3 linked regions of the Pelodiscus sinensis genome follow. The protein of the gene in region 2 purifies or fractionates together with the protein of the main gene of each other region. This does not show direct contact. Links are inferred from orthologs where the notes say so. Each region holds a gene or a part of one and is shown on either strand. Other genes may lie near its edges.

Region 1 (8,073 bases), on a different chromosome or scaffold from region 2:
GGACCTCGAGCGTCACCGAGGCCGGCAGTCAGCCCGTTCTCGGCCCCCAGGGCCCCCGGGACAGTCACCACAGCTGGCAGTCGGTCAGCCCCTTCTCCGACGACAACCGAACCCCGCCGCGCCGGTCCCGGAGGGAGCGGACCCAGCCAAGAGAGCTTTCCCTGGAGACTTCGCCCAGATGACCCAGGACCCGAGCCGCCTAACCAGGGTAGGCCCTGGGGGTTGGGGCTGTGACCCCAGGGGAGGAAGGAGCCCGGGGTGGGGCGCTTTTGGTGACCGTGGGTGGACGGGTTATGGAGGGAGTGACCCCCTGTCCACCGCGCCGGGGTGCAAACAAGCCCCGACGCCTAGGGCTGGGACCCAGAGAGAGGGTGGGACCGGTCCCCCTCCCTCTCCTGAAGGAGCGTCCTGCTCCTAGAAACTTTACTGAATGCAAGACTGCGAATTGGGACCCCGTGCCGGGGAGAACTTAGACTGTGGGCTCAAGCCCCATCCCGCAGGGACGAGTGACAATTTCCGGGTTCGCTGACCCCCCCCCTCCATCCGGGAGGGGGTGATCACACCCAAGGGCCCGGGCCCATAGCGGGGACCCGGGGTACGACAAAGGACGAGAAGAGGACGAAGGGGTCCGCAGAACCCCCCTCTTGTACTGGGAGGGGGTGATCGCACCCCTCACCCCTCACCCGTGGTGGAGAATGTGGGTATCGACCCCCTGAGTTGGCACTCGAGTTAAGGGGTGTTTTTTGCCTAGGGAAAGGAAAACGAGCACCAGAACAATGGATCCACAACAGCTGTTGGACTGGGTGGGGGAAACCCAGCACCAGCAGCAGCAGCAGCGGGCCCAGATGCTCCAGCAACTGGCAACCCAATTTCAGGACCAGCAGCAGCTGCTGGTCCAAGAGTTGGCCACTCAACATGAGAAATGGATATGGATACAGGGGGCCCACCCGCCCGGAGTGGCAGGGGGGCCCGTGTGGCAGGGCGAGGAGGGCGAACGCAACCTGGGCTCTCTCCCCCTGCGCTTGACCAAGACGGGGCCGGGGGATGACCCCGAAGCCTATCTGACGACTTTTGAACGGGTGGCCACTGCCGCGAGATGGCCAGAGGACCACTGGGCCACTTTGTTGGCTCCTTAGTGACCCAGGATGTGCTGCAGTATGTGAAAGTAAAAGAAGCCATTCTGGATCAGCTAGGGATCACCAGTGACACGTATCGCCAGTGTTTTCAGTGCGAACGATTCAAACTCGGGGAGCGGCCTCGGGCCTTTGCACAGTGGCTGCGCGAATGGGCTTGGCGCTGGCTAGAGCCTGAGCAGCGCTCCAGCACGGAAACGGTGATTCTGGAGCAGTACGTGCACCTTCTCCCCCAGGAAGCCCAGAAGTGGGTCCGGAGGCACCAGCCAGGTTGAGGGAGGCACCAGCCAGGCCCTCACCGAAGCCCATATGAACGCAGAGGGAGGTGAGATAGGGGAGCGGCGGGAGTCAATACCCGGCCCCTCCCCGCGGGAGGCACCGCAGGCACGAGGTGGCGGACCAAGCCCGCCCAAAGACCCCCCCCAGGCCGGCCTTTCGGGGGGGGGCGACGGTTGGCCCCAATATGGCCAGGCAAGCCGGGAGACACCCAGGAGAGAGCAAGGAAGGGGACGGAAGAGAAGTCGGGCGAAAGCCATAGGATGGGGAGTTGGAATGCCTGCTATCAATGCAGGCAGGATGGGCATTTCAAACGTGACTGTCCTCTAATGGATTGCACCTTAAGCCTAATGACCCCGGGGGGAACCCCGCCGGAACAATCGCGGCCGACAGTAACCATCTGGCTCGGCCTGAAGCCCCTGAAAGCCCTCGTGGACTCTGGCTCTGCTCTTACTTTAGTACGCGAGGACCTGGTTCGAGATGCCCCGGCGACCGGAGAGACTGCTTGGATGAAATGCGTGCATGGGGATGGGAGAGCCTACCCCATGGTGTGGGTCCACCTCGCCGACGGCCAGATGGCAAAGGTCTGGCAGGTGGGGAAAGCGCCCGCGTTACCATGCCCGATAGTGATGGGGAGAGATTGGCCCGGGTTTGCAAGACTGCTACGTAGAGGTGCGGACCCGCCGCGGGAGCAGATGCGCGTGACGGAGGGCTACATCCATCCCCGGACCCTCGGAGAGCCGGACGTGGGCAGGGGGACGCCGGTGGCGGGCCTCCCGGAGGACAGGCTGGCCGATGCTCCGGACTTCCTGGAAGAACAATGGGGAGATGAAACCTTGCAGTACGCTTGGGAGCAAGCAGAGGGCCCCGCAGAGACCGACGGGAACCGTCAGGGACCCCTCTTCCAGGTAATAGGGGATCGGCTGTACCGTCTGGTAGGGGCTGGGGAAGGGGAAGAAAAGCAGAGACAGTTAGTGGTGCTGCAGGGCCGGCGGAGGGAGGTCCTGGACCTGGCACACACGAACCCCTGGTCCGGGCATCTGGGAAGGGAAAAGACATTGGCCCGTGTCCTGCAGCGATTTTATTGGCCGGGGGTCTACAGGGTGGTGCGGGACTTTTGTGCCTCTTGCCCCAACTGCCAGAAGGTCTCCTCGGGCAGGGTACCGGTGGCCCCCTTGGTACTCCTCCCGGTTGTGGGCATCCCCTTTGAGAGGATAGCCTTAGCTTTGGTAGGGCCCCTGGAACCGTCTCGGATGGGGTACTGGTTCATCCTAGTTGTCATTGACTATGCCACTAGGTACCCTGAGGCAGTACCGCTTCACAATACCAAGGCACCGACCCTAGCTTCCGAGCTGCTCAAAATCTTTGCGAGGGTGGGATTCCCCCAGGCCATTTTAACGGACCAGGGGACAAACGTGACCTCACGACTGATGAAAGAACTGTGCGCACTGCTACGGATAAAGACCTTGCGAACGTCCGTGTACCACCACCAGTCGGACGGGTTAGTGGAGCGCTTCAACCGCACTTTAAAGGAAATGCTCAGGTGGGTGGTGCAAGAAGGACCACGGGACTGGGATCAGATGCTACCAGCCCTCTTGTTTGCTATCCGGGAAGTGCCCCAAGCCTCCACGGAGTTCTCCCCGTTTGAACTATTGTACGGGTGCTAGCCTAGGGGGATTTTAGACATTCTAAGGGAGGAGTGGGAGGCGCAGACCACCCGGTGTCAAGGCACGGTGCAGTACATCCTGCAACTCCGAGAGAGGTTGCGGCGGGTGGGGGCCTATGCCAAATTAAACCTTTTGAGGGCCCAGATGAGACAGGCTCATTATTACAACCGAACGGCCGTGACTCGCCCGTTCAGGCCAGGGGACCGAGTGTTGTTGCTCTTACCCACCCAGGAGTCTAAGCTCCTCGCGGAATGGCAGGGCCCCTACGAGGTGATCCGCAAGGTCGGAGATGTAGATTATAAGATACGGCTCTCGCGGAAGCGTAGGGATACACAGGTTTTCCATGTTAACCTCTTTAAGAAGTGGGTGGCTAGGGAAGGACTCCTGGCAGCACCCGTGGACCGGGAGGAGGATCTTGGCCCATCCCGGGAAGAGTGTACAGAGGAAGACTCACTGTCCATAGGACCCGAACTTACCGAAGAACAGCGACAACAAATGGAACATCTCCTACACCGGTTCCGTCATGTCCTTACCGCAACCCCGGGAACGGCGAAGGTAGGAGTACATTGTATACGTACTGAGCCAGAGCGGGTAGTGTGGGAAGCCCATAGACCCCTCCCCAGGAAGGTATGGGAAACCGTCCGGCAAGAAGTACAAGCAATGAAGCAGTGGGGAATGATCGAGGAATCACAAAGCGAGTGGAGGAGCCCAATAGTGCTGGTCCCCAAAAGTGACGGGAGCGTGCGGTTCTGCATTGACTTCTGGAGGGTCAACAGCATCTCGCAGTTTGACGCATACCTCATGCCAAGGGTGGAGGAATTATTAGAATGTCTGGGGCGGGCTAAATACATATCCACCCTGGACCTGTCGAAAGGATATTGGCAGATCTCGTTGGACCCGCAAGATAGGAAGAAAACCGCGTTTGCGACCCCGTTCGGCCTCTTCCAGTTTCGGCGAATGCCTTTCGGCTTACATGGAGCAGCGGCGACCTTCCAGCGGGTTAATCTAGGCTCCAATTTTAAGACAGCCTGACTTTGAGAGACCATTTCTTTTATGCACAGACGCATCCGAATGCGGACTAGGGGCGGTGCTGGCTCAGGAGTATGACGGGGAAGAACATCCAGTCCTTTACCTGAGCCGGAAACTCCTACCCCGAGAAACGAACTACGTGATGGTCAAGAAAGAGGCGTTGGCCGTGAAATGGGCCATAGAAACCCTAAGGTACTATTTGTGGGGAAATAAATTCAAACTGGTTACGGACCATGCTCCTTTAGTTTGGTTAAACTCCATGAAAAATTCTAATCCCCGCCTTACGCGGTGGTATATGTCGCTGCAACCCTACCAGTTCAAGGTAGAATACCGGGCACGGGCAAAACACCAGAACGCGGACTTTTTCTCGCGGGTGTTTGACCCAGGCGGGGAAGGGGGAAACCCCACTGTAAGGGGGGGAGGGTGTGTGACGGGCTGTCACTGGCCTGGGGGGAGGATGGCCAGAGCCGCCGCCTGCAGGGAGACGGGGGCCAGCCCCAAACTCTCTGGTGCGGTCCCGGCGCAAGCCGGGGGAGCCGGCGGGTCCGCGCACTGCCACCGCGCCTGCACCAGCAGGGGAGCATTGGCCCCTCCCTGGGGGTATGTCTACACTACAGCACTAATTCAAACTAACTTAATTCGAATTAGTTAATTTGAACTAAGCTAATTCAAACTAGTGCATCTAGAACTAAAAACTAGTTCGAATTAGCGTTGGCCAGGGAATGCCTCGCTCCTGATGCCATTTAGCAGTTCCCTAATCCCAGCCGCCTCTACCTCTTTCCCAAATGACATCACCCTGTTTGCTTCACACTCACATCTTCCTGTCTCCCTCCCTCCCTCCCAATCCCCATCAACCCAGCTCGCACGGGGGAGTGGAGAGGTTTGCCGGACACTCCCAGCCGCCAATGGGAGAGGAGCCCCGCGGAGGGCGGGGAAAAGCCAATGGGAGATGGGAGAGAGGCCGGGAGCTGCTGCCGGCGCTGAGCTAGGTGCTGCCGCTGACAATAGGGGAGGCGGTGGCGTGCTCGAGGAGGAGCAGTGGGCGTGCGTGGGGCAAGCCTGCTGGGCTGGCTGCGGAGAGAGTCTCGCCGCGAGGAGGACCGAGGAAGGGAGCCAGGGGGGGAGTGGGCAGGGGAGAAAGAGGAAGCGAAAGCAGCTGCAGCCGCAGGGCGAGAGAAGGGAATCCCTGTGCTGCCAGGAGGTGAGTGCTGGGCGCATGTGAGCGGGGGCAGCTCTCGCCTCCTGCCTTGCCGGGCACTTTGTATCTTGGCTTCCCCCGCGGCTGTCCGGGCAGGGGGAGCTCTGAGAGCGACCCTCGTTCATTGCCACGCTGCGCCGGTAGCTCTGCGCGGGCAAGTTTTTAACCAGGGCGCAGCGCAAGCGGAGTCCCTTGAAGTTTCCCTGGGAGGCAGGGTTGGCGACAGCAGGGCTCCGAGCTAAGCCGCGTGGCTGGAGTTTGGGAGACCCAGCTAGCCAAGGGAGCGGGGGTGGGCGACTCCTTCTGCCCTGCCCTCTCTTGCACAGGACGCTCATTCATTTAACAAAGGCGGCTGCCGTCTGCCCCAGACCCCCTTAGCTTGAGCCAGTGTGAACCGAAGGATTGTGTCTGGGGGGGTGGTGGTGGGTGTGACCCAAACTGGCCCCTCAGCCTTTCCTGGCTCTGTTGGGATCCATTGACTAGCAAGAACTGGGGTTCACCTCTTGTTTTCTCAGCGCTGCTAGTAGAGAGACCTGGGCAGCGGCGCCCGGATTTGTATATTAACGAGGGGACCCGAAGAGGCAGTTGTGGGGTTCGGCGTTGGGCTTTTTTTTGGTCTAATGAACTGAAACAGTGGGGGTGTCTGGGGCTGGCAGAAGCTTCAGCGCTGAATTGATCGTGTACTCAGTGAGCAGAGACCCCACAGAGCACGTCCCGATTCGGAGCGCACGTCTGGCTTTTGATGGGGTTAGTGAGCAGCGTGGGGAGGAGGGAGTATGGCTTTTTGGTGAGGATCAGAGATCCTTAGGCTGGCGTAGCACGTCTAGCGAGCGAGTTGTCTGTCTAGGGACACCAGTGGGGTGGCTGGGGAATGGAGATGGATTCTCCCCTCCCGGCTTCGTATGTCTAGGCGGCGGCAGGAGCGGAGTGTGCGTGTGCTGGGAAAATGCAGAGTGCAGCTCCTCTGTGTCTTTTTTTCTTCTTCTTCGTGGTGATCGGCGAGAACGCGGGCAGGAGAACTGAACTTTTTGAATCCGATGAAGTGAAAATTCAGGGCGCGTGGGCGTGCCTCAGTGGGTGGCTTTCTTGGAGGCTGCTCTGGGGAGCCAGCCGCAGAGGGTTCTTCTGGAGGAATTGCTTTTAGCTCATTCTGTAACTCTATAAAGGCTGCAATGTGGAATTGCTTAGATTCAGAAAGCTTCATAGACCTACCCGATGTCCCCTAGTTTTCAGAGAGGTCAGTTTCAGCAAAAACCAGTCCTGTGGCACTTTAAAAACTAATACATTATGCCCTAATAAATTTGTTAGTCTTTAAGGTGCCACAGGACTTCATGATGTTTGCTGTGATTCTGGCTACTTTCCTCTTTGCAGAGGCTTGAAAAATCACAGTGCTGTGTGAGGTATCTGGATGCCACAGAACATTTGCTCCCACAGGCAATTACTCAGTCTTTATTCATCCCCAGTCTTGCTCCAGAAAGAGTTTCTCCTGAGGAGAAAGACAGAAGAAAGCCAGTTAAAAAGCCTCTGAATTTGACTTGATATTTGGGAAACATCATCTACTCTAAGCCATGAAAATGACGTTTAAATGTTCTTGTTAGCAATATGTACATTAGTAATATGTGGTAATAATTGTGAGGACTGCATTGGTAAACTGCTTAAGCCTTACCCAAACAAAAGCAGTGCCGGTTCTGTGACTAGGCAGGATCTCCTAGAGTGGGGTATGTTTCTAAAAGACTTTCAGCAAATCAGGGAACAGAAGGAAGAAGGTCTGTCCTTTCCATTGGGAAGTAGAGAGTAATCCCAGTATTTAACTGCTGTGTCTAGTGATTGCATTTTTTTTCATATCTTGCCAGCTTCCTGATGAGTTAGGCTTTCTCTTACAAGGTCTCCAGTGCCCTCAATCCTTCAGGAACCTCAGCAGCAGTTGCGGGTACTTGTCACTTTTCAGGCTCAAGGAAGGTCTAAAATTGCTAAATTGGTACAACTGCACCACTGTAGAGTATCTGGTGAAGAGGCTCTGAGGATGGGAGAATAGTGATAGAAATGTAGCCATGTTAGTCTGGGGTAGCTGAAGCAAAATGCAGGACAATGTAGCACTTTAAAGACTAACAAGATGGTTTATTAGATGATGAGCTTTCGTGGGCCAGACCCACTTCCTCAGATCAAATAGTGGAAGAGGATGGGAGAGTGTCTTCTGCTGACATAGTGTTGTAACCCACATATCTTCTGGGTGTGGTTCGCTGTCCCATGTAGTGGCATTAAGACCACTTACAGAGAGAGAATAAGTTTCCTTATTGGCTTTTAGCTCAAGCTGTAGAGGCTCATGCAGTAAGCTCCAGAGGTTCCAGGTTTGGTTCTGCCTGTCACCCTTGTAATAGCACTTGTGTAGACAGTGCTTAGGTCACTATACTTGCATCATTCAGGGGAGTGTGTGTGTGTGTGTTTTCACAATTCTGAGTAAAATAGGTTAGACAGACTTGCCTAGCAATGTAGATCTGCCATCAGAAAGGCTTTGGTGCAGTCCTTCTTGTGTCCAGTCCACTGAACAGTTGAGTTGACTCCTGTAGGAGTTATTTATATAGAGGGGACAGCCAGAATACAGGAAGATGCTAATGCTGCTATTCCATTATTTCTTGAGTTTCTTTAAAGATTAGTTACTTTTCTTTCATACTTTGATCCAGACTTTGGCGTGTTGTGTGCGCGCGTGCGTGTGTGCAACGTAACAGAAATGTATCAATTAAGGGGTGACGAGCAGGTGGATAACTGTCAT
Region 2 (7,760 bases):
AATGTGAGTTTTCAGTTGGGTGTGGAAAACTGGGGGCTTTGGGTGGCTTTAGCCCTCCCACTAAAAACTGAGGGAGCATCTTAATAATGGAAGCACTGAACTGTTTACAACCAGAGCTCATTTAGCTCATCTTAGTAACAAGTAAAGAAATGTAAATGTGGTACAAAACTACTGGTGAAATGGATATTCAACAGGGTTGGTTTTTTTTTTTTTTAATTTCCAGCCCTCTCAATAGTTACCCACAACCCTGTGCATGCCTTTGTATCTGTGCTCAATACACACATAATCTTCCCTCCACTCTCCTAGCAGCAGCACTTTTAAACCTAGAGATAATTTTAAAAAATAAAATTGTCAGCAGCAACAGGTCTGAGAGAGAACATACAGTGTCTGGGAGTTCAATCATACAGGGAAATTAACAGGGAAGCAGTCTGAACCCACAGCTAACCTTATACAGTGGAGCTAAGAATTACTTACTCTGATGGCAATTTAATAAGATGATCAAACAATGGGTATGCTTTAAAATCCATAAAGTCTTTAGTGGGACTGTTTTGCATGACACTTTGCCCTTCCCCCCTTGTCACTTAAATGTAATAAGAAGCTTCACTGACCTGACCAGCTGTGTCACAGAGCTGAAGTCTCACGGGTCTGCCATCAACAGACACAACAGCTAAGGAGAGAAGGAAGGAGAAAAGTTGAATGAGTTTGGCGTTACACATTTTTTAATTAAAAAAAAAGAAATATGCCTTTCCTTAACATTTGTTTTTCCTTCAATTAATTTAGATTTAATAACACGAAGAACTGGAACTAAGTCTGTCACTAACATTTAGGCTCATTACAAACCCTTCGGGGCTTTCCAATTCATTTCACTGCAGTTGATGAAGTAGCAAATCACTGAACTAAAGCTCTTTGATGACACAAAAAGAGTGATCCAAACAATTAGGTTACTTCTCCTGCGACAGAGGGATTTGTTCTCTTGTCATGTTTGTGTTTTCAAAGCTCTGAGTCAAAAAAAAAAAATCTTCCCAGTTTTAAATCACTAGGAAGACAATGCAAATATTTGTGTTTTCCCTTGGGAGCTTGACTATAGAATTTATCATTAAAAACAAGTTATCTTGATATGTAACAATGTGCTCACTGGCTATGGTGGTACCTTTTATAAGAGAGATCAGCCTTATTATTTCTTTCTTGCTATTTAAATATAAAACACTTATAACCATCCTGTAGGTTTCATTTATTGTTTTGGTTACTAGGCTTCACAGCATTAATTTTCGATAATACAGAAAAGTCATGCCGTCCAACCATTTTTGCAGCATTGAGAATGACTGCATTACCTTTATAGCTAGGCCTATTAGCCATTCCTCAGACATAAAATTCACCCAGAAGTGGATCATTTGGATCAGCCCGCTAAAGACTTAAAAAAAAAACCCAGTAGGAAGCTGGACACCCAGATTTGTGTCTGGAAGCTGAAAGTCTTGGGCCCAGATGACCTCACCACACTTTAAGAGTAGAGAGACTAGAGAGCCATTCATGTAACACCCTCTTGTGGCCCTACAGTCCGTCCCATCGATCTCTGCAGTCACCTTCCAACACAATTCAGAACAAAAAGAGGGAAGGAGATCAAGGATTTACTTCCTCCGTCCCCCCTCCCTGCCCCAACTAAAGGAGACAGGGTTGTGACACGCGGATATTCCCAACCTGACCTAAACGACCATCCTTAAACAAGTAAAGTCCTGTGCTGGCAGGCTGAACAGAGCTGTAAAATCTGGGCAGTGCACAAGCACAGAGCAGGAAAAGCAAGAGCCGCTGTATACTATTGGGTCAACACACATTCATCCTTGGGAAGAAGGGGCGATGGGTGGTAATGATGTTTCCAGGTGGGGAAGCCTTTCTCCTGCACTGTGGCTGCTCCCTTTCCTGCCTCCGGGGAGGGAGGGGGTCCCTTTTTCACTGGTGGCAGGTCATTTCACCCCTCCCTTAGGAAAATCCATGCAGCTCCCCCTAGAGAGGGGCGTATGGGGGTAGCCCCCTTCCCTCTGACAGTTCATCTCCAGGAGGTGGATGAGCGATCCCCAGGGGAATGCCCCCCTTCCACCCGCCCCACGCTCGGCTCCCCACCTTCTCCCCCTGCGGCGGCCCCCGAGCCCCTTACCCGAGAAGTTGTCGAAGGCGGTGGGGATGTACTCCGTGGGGTACCCATTCGTGGTGTAACTCACCACCAGGCTGGTCTTGCCCACAGCCCCGTCCCCCACCAGGACACACTTGATGCTGCGGCGCGGCTCGGCTCCCGCCCCGGCCCGGCATCGGCTGCCCAGGGCCGCTCCCAGCGCCGCCGCTCGGCTGCTGCGGACCCTGCGCGGGGGCACCGGGGGCACCTCGCAGCCGCCAGCCAGCGGCTTGCTGATGTAGCCCGCCTCCCCCTCCTGCTGCGGCGGCATCCGCCTGGCACCGGCGAGGGAGAGCCCTGCGAAGCGGGATCGGCGCCACTGGGCTAGGGCGAGAGGAGCTCCACGCCCAGCCGAGGGACCCGGGTGCCCGGCTTCTTCACCGCCCCCGGCGCGCAGCTCCTCCGGCTCCACACCCTCCCGCCAGCAGCCGGTGCGGGACGCCCGGGGCAGCCCCTACTCCGAGCCAGCGCCGTGCCCCGGACCCGCCGCTCAGCTCGCCCGGACAAGCGGCTCAAGAGCAGCCAGCTGCAGAGACTGGATGGCAGGGGCGCGAGGCCGGCCTTCCCGGGCGGCGACAGCAGCGGGAGCCCTGTGCACGCTGCACTCGCCTCGCCGCACACTGAGGTGCCTCCAGCCCCGGCTCTCCGCCTCCCCAGCACAGGCAGGCAGCCGGCGGCGAGGGGAGGAGCCCGGCGCTGGGGGGGCCGCGCTACAGGCAGCGCTACAGCGCTCCCTGCCGCCCCGAGCCCGCCCGCCCACCGCGCCGGCCACTGGAGCAGGAGCCCGCAGGCGGCAACTACAGCAGGAGCCGCTGCGGGGACCTGAGGCCGGTACAGCGGCTGTGCCGCTTCTCATTGGCCACTTCGCTTCCCCTTTGAACGCTGAAACAATCTGCGCCGCGGCCATTGGCTGGAAGCGGCCACCTGGCCGCCTGCTCTGCCCCAGGCTGTTCCGTCCGTCCCGGCTCCTTCCCTGCCGCTTGACCGTAATCCGCTTCCTCCTCCCTCCCCGGAGCCTTGCCCCTCTCCCCCATTCCTGCCTCGCTCTCTGCTCTCCTCCCGCTTCCATCTCTCTACTCTGGGTGGCCAGTCCAGGCCTCTTTCCACAGTCTGTCTTCTGCTGTCTATTCCTTCTCCCCCCCCCCCCCCCGTCTCCCCTTCCCTCTATCAGCTTCCCTCCCACTGACTATATTTTCTCCTCATTCCACGCTGTCCCCTTCTTCCCACCCCTACGGCTCAGCTGTAATTTTTGTAAAGCTGTCTAATCCTGTCAAAGCTCTGCCTGCCTCACCGAGGGGAACAAAGTTTCCGGAGTTAATTTATCAGTATTAATGAGACACATGAGAAGAGATTTATCTGAGCACAGCTAAAGGCTACATAAAAGGAACCATGTTATTTGATTTCTCCATTCCTGCTTCTCTGCCTCTCTGGTAATATTTAGGGCAATGTCAAAAACAGAGTTAATGCAAGTTTTTTTTTAAACTGGAAGTTCTCTTCATTGTGTTGGCACTTTGTGCATTTACAATACAAGAGCATGGGAATAATGACTACTTGATATGCTTCCACCTGTGAAAGAAATAAACTGGGACATTTGAGTTTTAACACCTTTAAAACAGTGACACCAAATCACAGGCTCCCCCTGTTGTTACAACATGATTTTTAAAGGGCTGATCCCTGTCTACGCAGGGCACCGAGTGAGGTTTCAAGTCACTGTAGCTAACTCACATTTTAGCACCATTTTTTTGAACATAGACAAACATTTGGCTACTATTTCAGGCCAACAGAAGAAAAGATCACAGAAGCAGAGGTGTGCTCTGTTTTATACTACCCTATCTCCATTTCATCTGAGCATCTTCCAATAGTATATTAAGTGACACCTGTGGTGCTGAAATGACCTGGGTGAGGGCACGGGTGACACTTATTAGATGACCCTGTTTTAACTCCCATGACAAATGCAAAGTTCTGTCCCATACCAGTTCATGAGATATCAACTGTAAGCAAAATCTCCTGTATATGGGAAACAAGATGCTGGCTGATATATTCCCAGAGTGGGAAAACGGATGACAACAGCTATTTTACTTGCGCTGAAAATAATTAAAGATTAATGTAAAATCACAGAAAATACTGTCTACTGCAAGTAAAAATGACATGGCTCCATTTTTAAATACCAACAGCAAACAAAGATGGCCTATTTACTGAGCTAAAGGATCCAGATAGACAACCATAATTGCTTGTATTGTTCCTGTGCTTTAGAGCAGGGGCTATGTAAATTCATAGCTGCATGGTTGCATTATATTGTGATGTGCCCTGTTGAATACAGTGGAGCCTTTTGTTAAAAGGGATGATCAAGCTGATTGTTGTGCAGTGGGGGAGTACTGGTTAAATAATTTGCATCTTGATAGCAAATCAAAGACTGTCAGTGCTAGCAGTTACAGTAGGGCTAAAGGGACATTAATGTCTAGTCTAGGATTTGTTCAGGACTATATAAATAGTTTGATTCATGAAACTGAAACTTCTGTGCTACAGCAATTGAATTACAAATACTTCAAAAGTATTACAGTCTAGCTTTAAAAATATTGGTCTGTGCTGTGCGCAGGCTTACATCCTCTTCAATCAGTAGAGTTGCACTCTGTACCAGGGCTGAATTTGGCCCATTATCAGTTGGTATGAAGGAAAGCATTCACCCTATCTTATGCCCTTGCACTAGTCAAATATTATTCTTTGAGAAAATGGCAAGAGAGGAAATTATTTCATCAAGACATGAAATAGGCCATTGTTATTTCCAAGCTTATCACTTTCCCTGAGACATTGAAATATGAGCTCCATGTTGGCCTTGTAGAACAAAAGATTATTTCCCCCCACAGAAGTTTTACAGCTGAAAATGAGAGAGACAAGGGAAAGAGAACAACACTCCACTGATATGCTATGGTACACAGTCTCCTGTTTTAATGAAGAGGCTGATTTGGGAAGCTTTCACCCAAATCCTGTTCGTGAGAGAGAGAGAGAGAGAGAGAGAGAGAAGGCACTTGCTGTGTTGAAAAAACCCATCTCCAGCCCAGCTACTTTTACAAAGGACATGGCATTTGTGGCCATGCTCAGCTGCACCAGCCTATGTGGCAGGCTATGAATGGGAGAGCAGAAGAAAGCAACAAGAGATGCAAAGCTGTTTGGGCAAGGAGAGGACATAAAGGATGGGGTGTTACTTGGGGCTGACGAGGGCACAGATATAAAGGGACTCTCTTGCAGTCCTTATTTTCCATACTTCTGTGTGCTGTGGTAATATAGAAGTACAAAGCGTCACTGCTGTTATTATTTATTTTGAATTATTATTTGAAGTAATGAAGAACCATGAAAAGATATACATAATAATATTCTCTAAAAAGCATGATGTTAAACTGGAGTTAAGATGAGAATACATTAGCGGTAACTTAAAAGTAAAAAGTTTCACATGCATGATGAAATTATCCTAAAAACAAGCATTGCAAAGCTAGGAAACTCAAAGTTAATCAAGGTATCCAAACAACCTAAAAACTTACTATCCACTTCAATTCAACTGATGAAGTCAGTTTTGCCCACAGAAGCTTATGAATCTGCGTATTTTGGTTAGTCTCTAAGGGCACATCTACACAGCAGGGCTGAACTCAAAATAAGCTACGCAACTTGAACTAAGCTAATTGCGTAGCTTAAGTCAAAATAGCTTATTTCGACTTTTGGCACTGTCTATACAGCAGTTATTTTGAGATAGAGCACTCTTCCCCCAACTTCCCTTACTTCTCGTAAATTGAGGGTTACAGGAGTCAGAGTATGAAGTCCTCCAGCTCAACATTATTTCGACAGTATGTCAAAAAAACTGCCTGTTGTGTAAAAGTAGACTATGTTATTTTGGAATAACATCAGTTATTCCAAAATAACTCTGTAGATGTAGCCTAAGGTGCCACAGGACTACTTGTTTTTAAATTTATAGATTAACACAGCTACCCTGAAGAGATATCCTAACAATCCAAGTAATTCCATGTGGAAAACCATCATGGAAAAAACTGATCTCATGTTTAAAAAAAAAAATCAGTTTCCTCTTGTCTGGAACCACAAATACTAAGAATTCAGAGCTACCAAATGTCATGTAACTCGTGTGTCATGCACATTATTGGCAGCTCTGTATATCTGCGGTGCCGCTCCCACCCCCCACTCCTGTATCTCTCTGGGCCACAAGATGGGACCAAAATGGTCCTTTAGGATGAAACTCAGCTGGCAGCTAGGGGTTGTCATGAATCTTGGCATATGGTGGCCTGTCCTCTGGCTGCTCCCCCTGCTGCTGGATCTGAGCAGGGCAGAAGCAGCTGGCATTGGCGGCAGCACCAGGTGGCCAGTTGACTGGCTGGGGACAGAAAGTGAGGAGCTCAGTAATGACTAACGCAAGTGTGAAAAATCGAGACACTTTTTTTTCCTGGAGCGGAATGAGAAGGAGTTTATAGTTGCCAGATGGACAAGGCCCCTAATATTAGGATTGTCACCTTAGTACTCACCAACAATAATTTTGTTCAAACCATGTTAATGGCATGGGTTTAACTGAACTCCAGAACAACAGTAATTACATGTATCGGGGGTAGCTGTGTTAGTTTGAATCTGCAAAAACAACAAGAAGTCCTGTGGCACCTTATAGACTAACAGATTTATTGGAGCATAAGTTTTTGTGGGCAAAAACCCACTTTGTCAGATGCATCTGACAAAGTGGGTCTTTGCCCATGAAAGCTTATGCTCCAATAAATCTGTTAGTCTATAAGGTGCCACAGGACTTCTAGTAATTACATGATGTCACATCATATAATTTGGTGCTACATAAGCTCTGGTTGCTGCAGGCCACCAGTAATATATTAAACTTCCATTTCATTTTGTTAATATTTCATAAGGTTCAACTCAACTTAGTATTATATTTCTGTCTGTGGGTTCCTACATGCTACATATTTGCTGGGCAAACATGTGGAGAAACAATAAATAGCAGTGTGAACGAAGAAATAAATCAACTCAACTGGAGAGGGTTTTTTTGAGATGAGAAATGATTGGGGAAAATGTATTTGGTACCGGTGCGGCATGTTATTGGAGAAAATGGGAATCCCAGATGAGAAGCTCACAGAGGAATGGTATGTTCATTTGGATGTAAATCTCTGGGGAAGCAAAATTCAGAATAACTGAAGATAAAAACAGGAATGATGTATGTTCCATGTTGGTGACTCACCACCAGACTCTGCTGATGAGTTTAGGAACCCCTGCTCGTTTCTTGACACCCCAGGTACCTGGCCCCCTCCTCAATCCTACTAGAACAATAATAAAATTCCCAATACACACTCTTAGCTGTTGCATTCTTTCCACTAGTTGATTGTTACAATGGAGGTAAAGGAAAGAGCAGAGGCCCTGTAGCCAGACACAAAAACCCCATCTTGTTTTTCCACGAGCCCCATCTTGTTTTTCCCCCCCAGAGAGCAAGAGAAAGGCAGTCAGCCTTTGATGCCCTGGGAACGCAGGTGTGGTGCCTGTCCCTGACTCTACCATAAACAGAAACCAGACAGTAAATGGGCTAGCTGACGACTGGGAGGCCTCC
Region 3 (7,366 bases), on a different chromosome or scaffold from region 2:
AATCATAACTTTGTGAAACAAATCTTGTAGGCTGAAATTTTCCATGGTTTTTCTTTTGTCCAAAGATGAGTATCAGAGGGGTAGCCTGAATCTGCATAAACAATGAGGAGTTTGGCACCTTATAGACTAACAGATTTATTGGAGCATAATCTTTGTGAGCAAAGACCCACTTTGTCAGATGCATGTAGTGGAAATTCCAGAGACAGGTATAAATATACAGGCACATGAAAAGAAGGGAGAACCAATCAAGAGGAAGGCCAGAGATAACGAGGTTAATTCAGTCATGGAGGATGTGGCCCACTTCTAGCAGATGATGTGGAGGTGTGAAAATCAAGAGAGGAGAAACTGCCTTTGCAGTTGGCTAGTGGCCATTCACAGTCATTGTTTAATGCTAAATTGATAGTGTCAAATTTGCAAATGAATTGAAGCTCTGCAGTTTCTCTTTGAAGTCTGTTTTTGAAAGTTGTTCTTGTTGCTGCAGGATGGCTACTTTTAAATCTGCTACTGTGTGTCCAGGGAGACTGAAGTGTTCTCCTACAGGTTTTTGTAGGTTACCATTCCTGACATCTGGTTGGTGTCCATTTATTCTTTACATATGGCAGAGGGGCATTGCTGGCACATAATAGCATATATTACATTGGTAGATATGCAGGTGAATGAGCCCGTGATGGTGTGGCTGATGTGGTTAGGTCCTGTGATGGTGTAGATATGTGGGCAGAGTTGATACCGAGATTTGTTGCAGGCGAAACAAAGATGGTGATTTTTAAAATTTTATTTTTAGTTCGTTGAAAATTCCTTTTATGGGGTGCGATGCATTTTTCATGGCTCTGAATTTGGTTGGGTCCCACCCATAATTCAGACATGTTTATTTCATAAGATTAGAACTCTGGGATCTCAGCTTCCAATCATAGTGTGACCATTATTGATGAATGTTACCAACTTTCATGATTTTGCCATGAGTTTCATAATTATTTTTCTTAAAGCCCCAGCTCCTACAGTCAAGTGGATAAGTGATGATTTTAGCCTTCATTCTTAAAGAAAAAGTAGGTTTCTAGCCTTTGTGGCTGTGGAGAAAGCTTCAAAACATGAGAGTCTCAAAAGCAGAAGGTAAATAAAAACACCAAATCTGTGTTTTTACTTTATCTCATTATTTCAGAACATTTGAGATTGGCAATACTATGAGCGCTGCCACGCCCTTATGTACTTATGGTGCACACGTTGCCAGATAAGGCCAAAAAAATCTTGCGTACTAGGAGCTAGGTATAATTTGAAAAGGTAAAAGAAAGATGCAGTTCCTTAACTTCCCTTCCGTCTCTTGCTGGCCCACCTCTAACACTGGAATTTGTCCATCTCCCTTCTATCCCTCAATGCTGAGCTGTACAAGAGAAAAAAGGAGCTGAATTAACTGTGTATGTGCAACCAGAGCAATGATACCCTGGAATCTGAGTGCTATTTAATGGGGAGAAGGCACATACATTTCAACATCCCAAGCTCCAAATATTGTGGGATTCCTGGAATCACTTCAGTTTCAGAATTCTTTAATTCTGATTCAAATAATTTTCAGTAGTGAAAGTGAGGAAAGACCAAATCTGTGTACAACATACATAACTTTAGGACAAAAACGAGTGAGGATCATTCAAAATGAGGGGATGAGGCAGGGGAGAGAGGGGGGAAGAACACAACAGTATCAGTCCCTCTTACCTAGCCCAGAAACCCCCACCTAGCAACATCAGTGGCCTAACTCACAGCACCCAGAATTATCAGCCCCCATCCACCTGCCTACCTGCCCTACAAGATTCCACCAGCAGCTCCAACGTCCTACCCGGTTAGCACTTATCCCCACAAAATAGCTCCCTGTTATTCCTGCGTAATGATTTCCTAGTATTTTGAAAATTGGGACCCCAAAAGGTTGAAAACCACTGTTTCAGGCCATGCTGCCTCTTATATAACAAGGAGTTCAGTTCTGCCCCCTTTGATATCAGTAAGGAAACACCCAGGCTGTGTCTACACTGGCATGATTTTGTGCAAATACTTTTAACGGAAAAGTTTTTCCGTTAAAAGTATTTGCGGAAGAGAGCATCTATACTGGCATGTGCCTTTGCGCAAAAGAATCCGTGCCAGTGTAGATGCTCTCTTGCGTAAGAAAGCTCCGATGGCCATTTTAGCCATCGGGCTTTCTTGTGCAAGAAATTGATGTTACCTGTCTACACTGGCCTCTTGTGCAAGAGGACTTATTCCTGAGCTGGAGCGTCAAGAGTATTTGAGCAAGAAGCACTGATTTCATACAGTAGAACATCAGTGTTCTTGAGCAAATACTCACGGCCAGTGTAGACAGGCGGCAAGAATTTGCACAAAAGTCAAAATCTTGCCAATGTAGACACAGCCCCATTGACTTCTTTTAATGGAGAACTTGCTGATAGTAATTAACTTTTAAAAATGATGATTTGAGCATAGGCAGTAGAAATGTTCATGATATACACACATTTAAGATTTGACCTAAATTTTAAATTATCTTAAGTATTTATAAAACATAGACCAACAACAGTTAGTTTTTCCACATTTAAAAGTTTATAATATTGTTTAAAAACATTGTCCAAATATATCTGAAACCCTAACACTGCTTTGCTAAGAACATTAAAGTGAAAATTACTCTAAAGCAGAAAGAAACTAATAGTGCTAGTGATGTGTGCAAAGGCATTTATTTCATTACAAGATGTATAATTAAGCATCAAACAATTAAGAACTAAATCCTGGCAATGCCTTTACCTAAGTTGAATGTCACTGACTTCAATGGGGCTGAGCAAGAGCCTGTCACTGAACCTACAATCAGCACATGCATTGACAAAGTGGTTACTTGACTAATTTAAGATGTATCTGGCATGAGGATTTCTACTTGGCACACTTTACTGAGGTAGAGATGCAATCATAACAGGACAGATGTGTGTCAATTACACTGGTATGTCTTTTGTGGAGATATCCGTGATTTCAGAAGTATTTGGGTTTTGCACGTTTTGTTTTTGGAAGGGAGAAGAGGAGAACCTAGGAAAAGTAAACTGAAAAATCTGTTAACAAAATATAAAAGTTAAATGTTTACAATAGCAAAAACAGCCAGGGAATGCAAAATGTATGGTTCTCATGGGAAGTGGCAATGCTGATTTTCTCATACTACATATGAAAAGTATTACTTTACTGTAGCATCCCAACATAATCCAAAATAATAGATATGTATTAGGGACATAAAGATTATGATGACTAAACTTAAGCATTTCCTACTGTTGTGCTCTTAAAGTCACAACTGTGTTATGGCAGTAACGATGGCGTTTTGCCTTTAACTTCTTGCACAGAGGCACGGCTCCCCTTACCTTTCTACGAGGAAGCTCTCTGAGCTGGTATATTCCCTCCACTCCAGCTTTCAGGAGGCAGAGCTTCTGCAAGTGACCTCACCGCACTGACCAATCCGCTCGATTAGACGCTTGTGATGCTATTCCTGAAAGTTCCCTTCCCTAGGGTGGCACTTCGGGGAATAACATTGAATGCTTTCTATTTTTAGAGGGCAGGCGAAGCGCTTTGTCCCCGGCCCCGCCAGCTAACCCCAAGTCAGCGGGCCGAGAATGAGGGGGAAACATTTGCAGTTCAGCGGGAGAAATGGCTGAGCCCCTTCCGAGCGTCTCCCTGACAAAGAGGATGCGTTAGGCAGAGTCCCTTGCCAAGGACGCCTTAGGCACACATCACGCTGCAAACTCTGTAGCGCAGCTCGACTCAAAAGGAGAGCGCGGGTGGGTGGAGGGGCGGCTTTGTGCGGCTCCATCTTTTCTCTCGTGCACACCGGCTCTCCCACTTGCTCCAGGTCCGTGGCACTCAGTTTACAGACTAGAGCGAGCTGCGGGGGGCTCCCCTCAAGCCGGCACACGCAGCGCGGGCTCGGCGAGCTTGCCCCCCCCCACCCCCACGCCTGGGGCAGCGCTCGCCCGGCGCTCAGGTGTGCGGGGCCCGATCCTGGCCGTCCTGCCGCTGGAGCGGCTTCGCTTTTAGGCGCGGGCCCGGACCCACTTCCCCCTCCCCGAACTTTGCGGGCCGGGGAGGGAGCCGCCCCTCTGCGGAGCGAGCCCGGCTCCCGGCCGGAGCAAAGGGGGGGGGGAGTCCGGGGGCCCGCCCCTCCGGGCCGAGGCAGGAAGGGAAGGGAAGGGGAGGGGTGTGTGTGGCGGGGGGAGGGGCCGTCGCTGCCGCCGCCGCCGCCGGGCTGAGCAGAGGCAGGAGCGCCGGGGCCTTGGGCACGTCCGGCCGGCCCGCGGGAGGAGGGAGGAAGAGGAAGGGGGGGGGGGGACGCGGCCCCTCACGAGGACGCAGCAGCCAGAATCCGCCGGGGAGGGGGCAGCGCGCGCGCCAACCGCCGCCGAGACAAAGAGCGGAGCCCGCCTGGGAGCCCCCCCCTCAGCCGCCGCCGCTGCCATTGCTGCTCCGCTCCCGCCCCTCGGCCGGAGCGCGCCGGGCCCCCGCCCCGCCACGAGCCAGCGCCGCCCGGCCCGAGGTGAGAGCGGGGCCGGGATCCGCCGCAAACTTGTGGCGGCCGCTGCCGGGGAGTTGGGCGGCCCCGGGGGGCGCTGCCGGGCCTAGCGCCTCCCCCCCCCCCGCCGCGTACCGGGCCTGCAGCCCCGGGGTGAGTAGGGCGGGGCCGAGCGCGGGGCCCGCAGGAGGCGGCGGGGCGGGGGCTTGGCTGCCACGTTCGGGCGCCGGGGCCGCGGGGAGGCCGGGGCTGCGAAGGAGCCGCACGAGCTTCCTTGTCCTGGCCCGAGTGTTGCTGACAGCGGGCGCTGCTGGGTAGCACGGTCCGTGCGGGGCAGAGCCGGGCGGCGGCGTCTCTAGCCCGGCTCTGGGATTCCGCCGGGCTGACGCCGGAGGCGAGCTGCTTCTAACGTGGCTTAAATTAAGTGCCGCTCAGGTTTCCCTGTGTAGCGCGGAGCCCGACTGCCAAAAGGGCAGAAAGCAGTGCTCAGCTAGGACGTACATGATAATCCTGTCAATAAAGTAACCCAGGAGATATTTTGTATGAGTGTAATAGTCAGTTTGCTCAGCCAAAACTGATTATTTGCATTTATATTTTTAATGACTTAATCATCGTCAAATTACTAGGAATGTGGGCTAGCCTAGGTCAAGTAGCACCAAGTCCTTAATTCATCTTAAATATTAAAGTTTATATTTTAATGGAAAGTTGATATTCTGTAAAGTTTTCAGAAGAGTTTAATATGGCTTTTGAAATGTGACGGGTATTAATATACAAAAAAATGGCATCTTTAATGTGTTTACTAGGTATGGAACTTAGGTTTTGTACATAGTTTTTATACATGTTTACAACATGTTCAGAGAATATTAGACCCTTTGCAACTGCTTAATAAGTCAAACCCAGCACCTGACACAGTTAAAACAAAAAAGCCAACACAGGCTTCAAATGCTAAAACATAGGAATATTCTGATGTTTGCATTTGCATATAGAACTAAAACGGTGTTTTGTAGTAACTGTGTTACCTGTAATGCTATTAAAATCAGTATGTTGTAGTAGGCTGATACTTCACATTGATGATGGTAGCCCCACTAATCCTCAGTAATATTAACTAAAATAACACAGTACTTAAGGCTGTACCATATATATAGTTTTGTTCTTTGAGTAGTTGACAGGCACTGGAGGAATGACAAATAGTACATAATTTAAATATTTGACTCTAGATTAATAAAATACAAACCTACAGATAGACTTCTGTGAGACTTTGGCACTGTGGTTCATTGACATAGATCCTGTTGCAGGGTTATGGAATAGGTTAAAATTGCAACTTCGATTAATTTTCTGAGCCCATGTAATGTAATTTGTATGTATTGCACTGTAAAAAGCTGTATATATTGAGATTAAGTTGTGAACTAAATACTGAATTTCACTTAAAATTGTTCTGTGGTGGTATAAAATTTGAGCCCCCTCTGCATTTTTTGTTTAATTTTGCTCTTTGTGTATCTGGATTCCATTTCTGTTCCCGCCTTCTTATTTGGGCTGGAGTGGTGTCTCTGAAGGACATACTATTGCTGTAGCAGCTTTACGTACATTAGAAAATCAGGCCTTTACAGAACCGGGGTGTTGTAACACCATATGGGCAGGTCAGCTCTGCCACAGTTGGCTTTTGTTCTCCAGAATTTTGTCCAGTATCTTAAAATGGAGGAAAAATCTAAGTTTTTAAGTGCGTACCAGATGGGAGATTCTTAAAAAGGATCCCTTTTAAGGATCTCTTTCCCCAGCCATAGAGCTTTTCAGCGCCTGGTATGACAAAGCACTGACTCAGATGATTTAACTAGGGTCAGTTCTGCTTTGAGCAGGGGATTGGGCTAGATGACCTCCTGAGGTCTCTTCCCAGAGGAAATCAGAATCATAGATTAGGGTTGGAAGTGTCATTACCCTAGTGTCATTACCCTGCTGTCTGCTGCAACTGATCTTAAGCAACCTTAGGCTGTCATCACTGTTTAGGCAGTACGATGCCAATACTCTTATATTTCGATTATAGACATAACTAACTACAAAATAAGATTTATGTAACTTAGTGAATTTAGTGCTTCTGAAAGATCTTTTTAGAATTCTGAAAACTGAAATCTGTCTGACCTAAGCAGTTGTATTTCGTTTTGTTATCCCATCAGTATGTCTGAACGATAGGGTATTTCAGTCTTCATAACCATTCCTTGTTTATTTTGCTGAGACTTTTAACAAGGAGGTCAGTTGTGCCGAACATGTTTGTGAGTAGGAGTTGAGATTGGAGACACTCTTGCCTACCAACATCAATACTAAAATTTGCAAATAATTCTGTCCATGACAGTGAACAGTCTTCAGATGGTAAACATTTGGACACTGCATCTTTCTGCTGTATTTGGATCATTTACCTAGGGGTGAAAAGCATATTCCAGTTTCTTGAGCTATGTAATGAGCTTCCAAATCTTCTTCCCCTTGCTGTCCTGCAAAAGAAACACAACAATTATAATTAGTCATCTACCTTCAGCATGGTTCCTTATATTGACCTCTGAGTAGTAGGTGTCTGATAAATTAGAAACTCTAGCATCTCGCAGGCTGTTGTAACATAGGGAACTTACTATCTATTTCTATTTTTTCCCCCTTGAAAGTCTCCTGGTAGCTATGTGTAATTGAGTGAGGAAAGGTCCACATCACTTTACACTTTTGCCAGCACCTCCTGGCTGCTGCAAGGGGAGAGATTAGGACAAAGAGGTCTGCCATTCTCTACTTTGCTATAATTTTGTCTTACTGCAGTCTCTTTCTCCTTTGATAACTGTTGTGTATTCCTTTGCCGATTCTAAGGCTTTCCTCAGCATCAGCCTAACA

What was found.
Region 1: the proteins of RHOU (region 2) and PAK1 purify together in Homo sapiens (co-immunoprecipitation; 5 studies listed by BioGRID and IntAct, with this or other methods). This does not show direct contact. The link is inferred for Pelodiscus sinensis from reciprocal best matches to the Homo sapiens genes RHOU and PAK1.
Region 3: the proteins of RHOU (region 2) and NCK2 purify together in Homo sapiens (co-immunoprecipitation; 3 studies listed by BioGRID and IntAct, with this or other methods). This does not show direct contact. The link is inferred for Pelodiscus sinensis from reciprocal best matches to the Homo sapiens genes RHOU and NCK2.

Annotation. Positions count from the first base shown.
Region 1 is NC_134711.1:317,034,581-317,042,653, forward strand, and holds the start of PAK1 (serine/threonine-protein kinase PAK 1), read left to right. Parts: upstream 1-5,034; 5' UTR 5,035-5,306; intron 5,307-8,073. UniProt on the Homo sapiens protein: Protein kinase involved in intracellular signaling pathways downstream of integrins and receptor-type kinases that plays an important role in cytoskeleton dynamics, in cell adhesion, migration, proliferation, apoptosis, mitosis, and in vesicle-mediated transport processes.
Region 2 is NC_134713.1:123,851,195-123,858,954, forward strand, and holds the start of RHOU (rho-related GTP-binding protein RhoU), read right to left. Parts: upstream 3,080-7,760; 5' UTR 2,436-3,079; coding exon 2,150-2,435; intron 668-2,149; coding exon 609-667; intron 1-608. UniProt on the Homo sapiens protein: Binds to and activates protein kinase PAK1. Plays a role in the regulation of cell morphology, cytoskeletal organization and focal adhesion assembly during cell migration. Also stimulates quiescent cells to reenter the cell cycle.
Region 3 is NC_134711.1:233,632,521-233,639,886, forward strand, and holds the start of NCK2 (cytoplasmic protein NCK2), read left to right. Parts: upstream 1-4,303; 5' UTR 4,304-4,528; intron 4,529-4,577; exon of another isoform or gene 4,578-4,657; intron 4,658-7,366. UniProt on the Homo sapiens protein: Adapter protein which associates with tyrosine-phosphorylated growth factor receptors or their cellular substrates. Maintains low levels of EIF2S1 phosphorylation by promoting its dephosphorylation by PP1.